2 linked regions of the Macaca mulatta genome follow. The protein of the gene in region 1 binds, or shares a complex with, the protein of each later gene. Links are inferred from orthologs where the notes say so. Each region holds a gene or a part of one and is shown in the gene's direction. Other genes may lie near its edges.

Region 1 (5,050 bases):
CAGCTCCAGCTCCATGGACCTCTCCCGACGAAGCTCCCTGGTGGGCTAATGCTGAAGGGGCAGCCAGTCACCAGAGCGCCCACCTGGCACACCCCCCTCACCCCAGCCCTGCGCATGGGCCTGCTGCTTGTCCCGCCTGTCTCTCCCACAGCCCCTGTCTTTTCTGTTCAATCTCAGGGTAACCTTCTCCCTTGTCATCTCAGCCTGAGCCCTGGAGGCTGGGCCTGCCCACTCCAGCTCGATCCCTTATTTATTCCTTCCAGCAGGGCCCTCTTCCTTAGGTTCGGGGCCAGCAGGAGGTGCCGGCTGGAGTCTCCACCATAGACTCAGTGGCCTGGCCTCCCCAGACCCCAGAGCCAAGAACACTAAGCACTCGCCGGCCCTTCGGCACCTTCGCCCTCCCTCCCAACTCAACCCGGCCGTTGCTTCTGTATATAGAGAAATAAGTTATTGGCCGCGCCCCACCCTTCAGTCCACGGTACTACCCGGGCCTCCCCTCGTCCCTCCTCTAGTGGTACCGCCCAGGCCTTAATCACCCCCATTCCGTGCGGTGGTATCTCCCAGGCTCCACATTCTCGGGAGTGGCGCCTCCTAAGTGGCTCCCGGGACCTTCTCGCGCTCCTCCTGGCCTCTGAGGGATGCGTCCTACCCCGCCATCGCCCCGTGCCCCAGGACGGGGACCTCCCCTTAGTCAGTCCTCCCACCGCCGGGCCCTGCCCCGCATCCCGGCCTTATGCACTGCCCCTCCCGCCCGGCCCCGCCCAGGCACGGCCCGACCCCGCCCCGGGCACCGCCCACCGAGCCATCCTGCCACGCCTCTCCCCACGCCTGCAGCTTCTCGCGAGGGGCGGCGACGGTCCCTTGGTGGCAGGAGGGGCTCCCCCTGTTGCGGGTGAGGCGGCTGCTCTCTATTTTCAGATGTTGCTGTAGAAATAAAGACGGTTTGAATCTGAGCCGGGCTTGTTTTGAGGCGGAGGTCGGGGTGCCCCCGCGTCTCTAAACGGGTGGAGCCGGGAAGGGTCGCGCGTGAGTGGGGGACAGTGTGTCTCGCTCAACCGCTGTCCGCGCAGCTGGGCCCAGATATTCTGGCCCACCCCGGAACTGGGTGGGGGCCCCACAAGTCAGGCTTTCCCTAAAACGTTCACTTGTGGGGTTCTGGAGACCGCGGGCTCTTACGAGCTCTGCTCTTCACAAAGTTTTTGACTTTGAGTGAGTTTCCCGATACTCAGTTTTTTCATCTATGAAATGCGGGTGATGACACGCGGCTGCGAGTTAGGAGTGCCCAGTACACGAGGAACCCTGGACAAGTGAGCTTTTACTAGTCTTGCTAGATCCCACATTCTCATTTAATGTTCACAACGTGGGTATTGGGAGGGTAAGGATGACTGTCTCCGTCAGACAGATGTGAAACGTGCCAAGCCCAGCTCTAAACTGAGCTTTTTAAACACCGAGACGCCGTCAGGCTTTCCAGCATCGTGCTCAAGCCTAGGTGCGTCCGGCGTGCAAACTACAAGCCCCAGAAGGCAATGCGCCAGTAGTGATGGGAGTGGGCGCGGAGGCACGGGCTCCCCGACTACGCCTGCGCAGCGGGGCTGAGTTGGAGAACGTCTCAGACTACAAGTTCCGAGAACCAGCGCGGCGAGGCCTGAGAAGAGGACGTTTGCGCCTGCGCGTCGCGGGCGGGGCCTCTGGGGCGGAGCGGCCACCATCTTGGAACGGGAGGCGGAGCAGAGCCGACTGGGAGCGACCGAGCGGGCCGCCGCCGCCGCCATGAACCCCGAATAGTGAGTGAGCCCCGCCCGCGCCGTCCAGCGCAGCCTCGATCCCGAATACGGGGCTGTACGCTTACCGGGGTTGTCTGGCCCGGGTCAGGACTGTGCGGCGCCCCCACATCCGGGTCCCTCTTCCGCTGACCCCCCCCCCTCACATCCGGGTTCTGCCCCTCCCCCCAGGGGCCCCAGGACCCCGGCTCAACACCCCGAGCTCTCACACCCGGGGCCCAGACGTGGCGACCCCGAGGGGCAGCTCTTGGAGCCCGAGACACCGGCCCTACCAGGCCTTATCGGTCAGATGACCCCGCAGTCCCGGTCACTTCAGGCCTCAGTTTCCCCACCTGCTGCTTGACAACTGTCCTGGAGTTTGGGAGCCCGTCTTTAGATAGTTTCTGGTCTCGGGTTCAGGCTCGGGCCCTTTAGGTCGGGCAGTGAATCCCTCTACCCTTCTCTTTCTCCTGAAGCCCGGCTCCTGGGGCCGGCCCAGAAACTGGCCAACTAAGCGGGAGGCCCCGAAGCGCCGCTTGAGTCCCGTCTCCCGCAGGTCCTCTCTTCCGGGGCTGCCTCCTACCCTTTGCCTGGGTTACGCTGACCTGTCGCTCCCGACGGTCCGTCCTTTCCCGCCCTCTCCTCGCTTTTGCTCAGGCCCCCAACGCCACCGTCGCACCCCTTCCCTTGGCTGTCACACTGCTTGTGAAGTTTAGATGAATATGGAATTTGCTCTCCCCCTTCCAGCGGGATTCTCTGGTCCTCAAACTCTCCTCACTCTTGGTCACTCCCTCTGCGGGTAGGTGGCCCACATCTCATGCCCAGGACTAATAGTTTTCCCCAAGTATCAGTTATCTTCTTCCTCTTCTGCCACTTCCTTTTTCTCCTCCACATCCAGGTCTCAGATTTCCTTGGGGAAGGGTGAAGCTCTGAGCTGGATTGGGAGGGGAACAGAGAAGGGAACCAGCAGGCTCTCGCAGGGACTTTGGAGTCTGACAAACCTGGTTTGAGTCTTAAAGCGAAAAACTGTGTAAGTTAGGGCAAGTCACTTCCCTTCTCTGGCCTCTGGTTTCCTCATTAGTTGACAATGATAAAACTGACTTCATTGGACTGTTGTGAAGATTAAATGAGATGATGCATTTGAAGTACTTCACACAGGGAACTCAACTGTGTGACTTCACACAGTCACAAGTTGGAACTTAATATTATTAAATGTGATTACCTTTTACCTTTTTTTTTTTTTTTTTTTTTTTGAGACAGGGTCTCTCTCTGTCACCCAGGCTGGAGTACAGTGGCACGATCATGGCTCACTGCAGTCTCCAACTCTTGGGCTCAAGCATTCCTCCTGCCTTGTCCTCCTGAGTAGCTGAGAATACAGAGGTACACCACCACATCTGGCACATTTTTAAATTTTTTGTAAAGACAGGGTCTCCATCTGTTTCCCAGCCTGGTCTCAAATTCTTGGGCTCAAATGATCCTTGTGCTCGGGCTCCCAAAATGTTGGGATTACAGGTGTCAGCCACTGCACCCAGCCTTAAGTGCAATTTTCATTGCAACTTGACCACCTCTTCCTGGTGACTTCATAACAGGTTTTTTGTTGTTGTTTCCAAAGAGATGGGGTGGACTGGGCGCGGTGGCTTACGCCTGTAATCCCAGCAATTTGGGAGGCTGAGGCGGGTGGATCACGAGGTCAGAAGATCGAGACCATCCTGGCCAACATGATGAAACCCCATCTCTACTAAAAATACAAAAATTAGCCAAGTGTCATGGCACGTGCCTGTAATCCCAGCTACTCTGGAGGCTGAGGCGGGAGAATCACTTGAACCCGGGAGTTGGAGGTTGCAGTGAGCCGAGATCGTGCCACTGCACTCCAGCCTGGTGACAGAGTGAGACTCCATTTCAAAAAAAAGAGAGATGGCCGGGCGCGGTGGCTCAAGCCTGTAATCCCAGCACTTTGGGAGGCCGAGGCGGGCGGATCTCGAGGTCAGGAGATCGAGACCATCCTGGCTAACACGGTGAAACCCCGTCTCTACTAAAAATACAAAAAACTAGCCGGGCGCGGTGGCGGGCGCCTGTAGTCCCAGCTACTCGGGAGGCTGAGGCAGGAGAATGGCGTAAACCCGGGAGGCGGAGCTTGCAGTGAGCTGAGATCCGGCCACTGCACTCCAGCCTGGGTGACAGAGCAAGACTCCGTCTCAAAAAAAAAAAAAGAGAGAGACAGGGTCGTGCTACATCACCCAGGCTGGTCATGTACTCCTGGGCTCCAGGGATCCTCCTCCTGCTTCACCCTCCCCAGTAGCTGGGACCACAGGCACACCCCACAGCACCCGGCCATCAGTCTCTTTACATGGGTTTTTCACTTAACAAGTTCTAGACTGTGCCCTGGGTTCTACTTCTGGGGCCTCCCCTGCCAAGCCAGGCATACCACAGGTCATGTACTGGGGATTCCCTAAATAGCCCCTACTGTACCAAACCATGAAGTCTCAGAAATCAGGGTAGGATACCCAGCTCTGTCGCCTTGGCAGGTCACGTCCCTCTCTGTGTCTTGATTTCTTTCTCCATAAAGTGAGAATTTAGACTCAGCAAGCTGAGAGCCCTTTGGGCTAGCTTTTTCTGGAGGGGGGCATCAGCCCTCCCTGACCGGGACTGGTGGGAAGATCTGGTGAGCACCATAGTATTCTAAACCAAAGGATGACCAGGCTCACCCCTGTAATCCCAGCACTTTTAGAGGCCAAGGCAGGTGAATCGATTGAACTCAGGAGTTTGAGACCAGCCTGGGCAACATAGTGAGACCCCGTCTCTACAAAACATAAAAAGAGTAGCCAGGGGCTGGATGTGGTGGCTCACACGTGTAATCCCAGCACTTTGGGAGGCTGAGGCAGGTGGATCACCTGAGGTCAGGAGTTTGAGACGAGCCTGGCCAACATGGTGAAACCCTGTCTCTACTAAAAATACAAAACTTAGCCAGGCATGGTGGCAGGTGCCTGTAATCCCAGCTACTCGGGAGGCCGAGACAGGAGAATTGCTTGAACCTGGCAGGCGGAGGTTGCAGTGAGCCAAGATCACGCCATTGCACTCCAGCCTGGGCAACAAGAGCGAAACTCCGTCTCAGAAAAAAAAAAAAAAAAAAAAAAGATTAGTTAGAAGTGGTAGTGGACACCTGAAGTCCCAGCTACTCGGGAGGCTGAGGTGGGAAGATCACTTTGAGCCTGCGAGGTAGAAGCTGCAGTGAGCCGTGATCACTTCAGTGCACTGCAGCCTGGGTGACAGAGTGAGACCTTATTGCCAAA
Region 2 (4,537 bases), on another chromosome or scaffold:
GACTCTGTCTCAAAAAAAAAAAAAAAAAAGAAAGAATTTTGAGAATTCTAATAGATTATTCTTGTACTAATTACAAATATGTATTTGAATAATAGATTCAGACTGTTGATTTTAAGATGAAATCTCATTTGTATTGACACATTTAAAAGTACTCATGACTCAGTATTCTTATAAATTTATTATATTTACAAGAATTACACAAGGACTTGAAAGGCTTTGCTAGACAGAAAACTGATACTTAGAAAAATGAATTAAATTTATAAATGCAGTTTCAAATGTTCAAAGAATTTTAATTAGCTAAGTTTATTAATGGGACCAAATAAGTGATATAATTTACTAGATTTATGAATAAAACTGTAAAATTTGGCTGTGCGCGGTGGCTGCCTGTAATCCCAGCACTTTGGAAGGCTGAGGCGGGTGGATCACGAGGTCAGGAGTTTCATGGGTTGGAGGTCTCAGGATAATAAAGAACTGTTGTAGTTGGGGGTGGGAGGTGGAAGAGAGTCATCAAGCAACTGGAATTATAAGAACCTCAGCATAAAGAGCTAGTACTAGAAATTCGGGAGGCCACAATCACAGTATCAGGGACGTAAGTAAGGGAATGGATGTCCAACTGGAAAGAAAGGAACGTCACTGGAGACGAGAAGGAAATCAGACCTGATAAGCCAGAGTGCTACTTTAGATGAGTGGCCACTATTTTGCACAATGTAAGCGGGGCACTGCTCACATGAACGTCTACGTGAATGGCGCTCCCAGGCCTTGTGCAGTGCATAACCTGCGGACCCGTATGAGATGAACCTGCTAGATCCCCAAGTACCCAAGAACTGATGACAGGAGTTCGTGTGGGGAGATGAGACAGGAGGTAAAAAAAAATAAAAATCCTTGGTAAGCAAAGATTTGTCATAATTGTGGAGTATTTACTATATGCTTGGTAATGTTCTAAACACTCTCAATAACCCTGTGAGTTCAATATTTTTATTATCATCTATACTATTTAACAGATGAAAGAAGCAAAGGAAATGACAGCCGGTCTTGAGCACACTCGTTCAAAAGCGCCACACTCTACACCGTAGAGTCTACAGCGCAGAGGAAACTAACTGCTCAGCGCGCTCACCGCCCTCCTTCCGCGTCCAGGCGTAGCGCAAGGTCACGTGCCGGCGCGGGGCGGGGCCAGCGGGGCGCCTTCGCGCCTGCGCGCCGCTGGCCGACCGAGCGGAGCCTGCCGATGCCGAGCGGGCGCTACGTCCAGCGGTCGGAGCCGCGTTTTCTCCCGGCTCCGCCACCAGCCGGGGCTCGGGTGGGGGCCCGGGCCCCCGGGGCATGGCCCTCCGGAGTGCGCAGGGCGACGGCCCCAACTCCAGCCACTGGGACGGCGGCACGGAGAAGGCAGGTACGGAAGCCGACCAGGGCGCCGGGAGCGGCCTGCGAGGGCGGCCCAGGGGGCAGTGGCAGCTGGTGGCGGAGGCGGTGCCGGAGGGGCGCGGGCTGGCGACCCGGGGCTGCGGCGGGGTTCCGGGCGGCGAGAGAGGAAGAGGCGGAGGGCCCGAGGCACGTCTGATGGGGAGAGGGCCTGGAACGGGGGGGCTCGGGCGGGTGCCGAGCTGACCCGAGGGAGTCTGGCGGCAGAGTAGCGTCCCCAGGCAGAAGAGCGGGCGGGAGCTCCGCGCCCCGGCTTTCTTCCGTCTGGAGAGGACCGGGACTCCCCGAGCGCTGGCAGGCCCACCCCGTCCCAGGCGTCCGCCACGTTCGCAGACTCCCGGAGCCGCCTCCCCGAGGGAAATCAGCTCTCCCGAACTTCATTCACTGTCGCCGGCTTGATTGACGCGCTGTCCGCGTACCGCCGATTTAATTACCATACAATTCTCCCTTTAAGGTGCACAGTTCAGTGATTCTTAGCACATTCACAAAGTTGTGCAGCCATCGCCGCTGTCTGATTCCGAAATGAAACCCTTACCCATTAGCAGGCACTCCCCATTCCCCAGTATTCACGAAGCCTGGCAACCACAAATAGACTTTCTGTCTGTCTTCTGCCACCTATTTTAATGTTGATTAGTTGTGTAAAAGCGACCTGGCGCTATGGCTCCCGCCTGTAATCCCAGCGCTTTGGGAGGCCGTGGTTGGAGGATCGATTGAGGCCAGGATTTCGAGGTCAGGCTGGGAAGCATAGCGAGGCCTCATCTCTACAAAAAGTTTTTTTTTTAACGCCAGATGTGGAGGCTTGAGCCTGTGATCCCAACGACTCAGGAGGCTGAGGCGGGAGGATCGCTTGAACCCAGGACTTGGAGGCTACTCTATGATTGCGCCATTGCACTCCAGCCTGGGTGACAGATGGAGACCCTATCTCAATAATGAGTAAATTATTGTATACAAAGCGATTCTATTTTTTTTTTTTTTTTTTTTTTGAGACGGAGTCTCGCTCTGCCGCCCAGGCTGGAGTGCAGTGGTCGGATCTCAGCTCACTGCAAGCTCCGCCTCCCGGATTCATGCCATTCTCCTGCCTCAGCCTCCCGAGTAGCTGGGACTGCAGGCGCCCGCCACCTCCCCCGGCTAGTTTTTTGTATTTTTTAGTAGAGACGGGGTTTCACCGTGTCAGCCAGGGTGGTCTCGATCTCCTGACCTCGTGATCTGCCCGTCTCGGCCTCCCAAAGTGCTGGGATTACAGGCTTGAGCCACCGCACCCGGCCGCGATTCTATTTTTATACTCTTTTAGTTTGGACCATTTCTGTGAACTCATGTTTTTGTTGCACATTATGTTCTCAAATGTTTTTCATTCAATAAATACATGACAGTTAAAATTATGAATGTACACCGTGAACCAAGTTAAATAATCTTTTTTCCTTGAGGAAGACTAAGGTGACATTCCCCATTTCCAGTCCTCTGATGGATGGTACCCATAACAGAGCCAAACACGTTATTCAACCCACGTATTTTGAGGAAGCTGCTGGTATTCATATTTTATTTTATATTTTATTTGGGCTCATTTTCTGTTTTTTCCCTTTTTCTCATGTTCTGATACTGAATGAAAGTGGATGGAGCTCTGAACCCTTTGGCACCGTAACCCTTTCATTACTGGTGTTTGTGTGATGTCTGTCCTCAGTGGCATAATAGTCAATGCCCTAGGCAACATGGGTCTTGTGACCTGTTGGCAGTGCAGCTGTGTGTCTGTTGCAAGACTTTACCGCCTCTAGTTTCCTTGATTTTGCTTCTCTGGATGAATGGGACAAATTTAAAAGTGAGGTTTTTTGTTTTTGTTACTGTTTTGTTTTTTAATCATATCAGAGTATTGTTGGCAAAGTTCCTAATGCTTATCCCTCTTTTGTAGCGTTTATGATCAGATTGGTTTACTCACTAGACTGGTTTTTTTCCATTATAGGGGTGAAACATTCTTAAGTCTTTATAACCTGCTTTATGTTCCAGGTAGTTAACAGAATTTTTGCTAATTTGGATACTGTTTTGTAGAAACTACTAGTTAAGACCTCCAAAAACAGAGGCTACTTTGTTTTATTTTGTGTTTAATAGGACTCTTACCCAGACTGAAGAGTCTCTGTGGTCTCCTGCTGTGGTCTTCTGGTACAGACATGGAGTTAAAGCTTTTTTTTTTTTTTTTTTTTTTTTTGAGAGATGGGATCTTGCTCTGTCCCCCGGGCTGGAGTGCAGTGTCACAGTCAAAGCTCACTGTCACCTCCCAACTCCTGGACTTAAGTGATCCTCCTACCTCAGCCTCCTGAGTAGCTGGGACTACAGGCATAAATTTTTAAGTTAATTTCCAATGTCAATGTCAGGAGTTGTGGGTGGGTGTAGGGGGATGTCTGTCTCCTTCCCTCCACAGAAAACGTCCCCAACCCTCCATTGTTTTAAGACTAGCATTGCTTAATGTGAGCTTAACTTCAGTTTAAAGACTGTAAAGCTTTTATGATAATGCAAGCTTAAACCAAATAATCAGTATGGAATTTTGTACTCTCACACGAGATTCCATTATATAAATTAGTTGATCCAAGTTCGTATTTGTTTTGGTGATATGGAAAAATACATGAAAAAACTTTTAGATGAGGCATGGATAGTGGTCATCTTTAGTTGTTATTGTCCCTTCCCTGTATATTAAGTGCCCTAATCCAGGTGATTTTGGACATGCCTATTACTATGAGGAGGCAGAAATCTTTACCTGGATTCTGTAGCCAGAGTTGGGAGAAATGTAAGACAGTAGTGGGTTGTGTCATCTTCATCTGAACCATTAAGAACAACAGTTCAGGCCGGGCGCGGTGGCTCAAGCCTGTAATCCCAGCACTTTGGGAGGCCGAGACGGGCGGATCACGAGGTCAGGAGATCGAGACCATCCTGGTTAACACGGTGAAACCCCGTCTCTACTAAAAAATACAAAAAACTAGCCGGGCGAGGTGGCGGGCGCCTGTAGTCCCAGCTACTCGGGAGGCTGAGGCAGGAGAATGGCGTGAACCCGGGAGGCGGAGCTTGCAGTGAGCTGAGATCCGGCCACTGCACTCCAGCCTGGGTGACAGAGCGAGACTCCGTCTCAAAAAAA

What was found. The genes of interacting proteins can lie anywhere in the genome.
Region 2: the proteins of RAB1B (region 1) and TBC1D20 are in contact, whole or in part, in a crystal structure (PDB 4HLQ), measured with the Homo sapiens proteins. The link is inferred for Macaca mulatta from reciprocal best matches to the Homo sapiens genes RAB1B and TBC1D20. Residues at the interface, in NP_112243.1 of Homo sapiens: Ser17, Gly18, Ser36, Tyr37, Ile38, Ser39, Thr40, Ile41, Gly42, Val43, Asp44, Phe45, Gln60, Trp62, Ala65, Gly66, Gln67, Arg69, Phe70, Thr72, Ile73, Tyr77, Glu94; in NP_653229.1 of Homo sapiens: Gln97, Gln98, Leu101, Asp102, Arg104, Arg105, Leu107, Arg108, His141, Tyr142, Tyr143, Gln144, Gly145, His147, Asp148, Phe177, Met178, Asp179, Pro180, Thr181, Met182, Lys186, Val212, Ile215, Leu218, Ser219, Thr223, His227, Met272, Ala273.

What each region holds. Positions count from the first base shown.
Region 1 is NC_133419.1:8,144,947-8,149,996, reverse strand, and holds the start of RAB1B (ras-related protein Rab-1B), read left to right. Parts: upstream 1-1,676; 5' UTR 1,677-1,770; coding exon 1,771-1,784; exon of another isoform or gene 1,785-2,633; intron 2,634-3,624; exon of another isoform or gene 3,625-4,901; intron 4,902-5,050. Other genes in the region: KLC2 (kinesin light chain 2), read left to right, coding at 1-49. UniProt on the Homo sapiens protein: The small GTPases Rab are key regulators of intracellular membrane trafficking, from the formation of transport vesicles to their fusion with membranes.
Region 2 is NC_133415.1:83,693,741-83,698,277, forward strand, and holds the start of TBC1D20 (TBC1 domain family member 20), read left to right. Parts: upstream 1-1,210; 5' UTR 1,211-1,320; coding exon 1,321-1,390; intron 1,391-4,537. UniProt on the Homo sapiens protein: GTPase-activating protein (GAP) specific for Rab1 and Rab2 small GTPase families for which it can accelerate the intrinsic GTP hydrolysis rate by more than five orders of magnitude. Also shows GAP activity for RAB18 GTPase.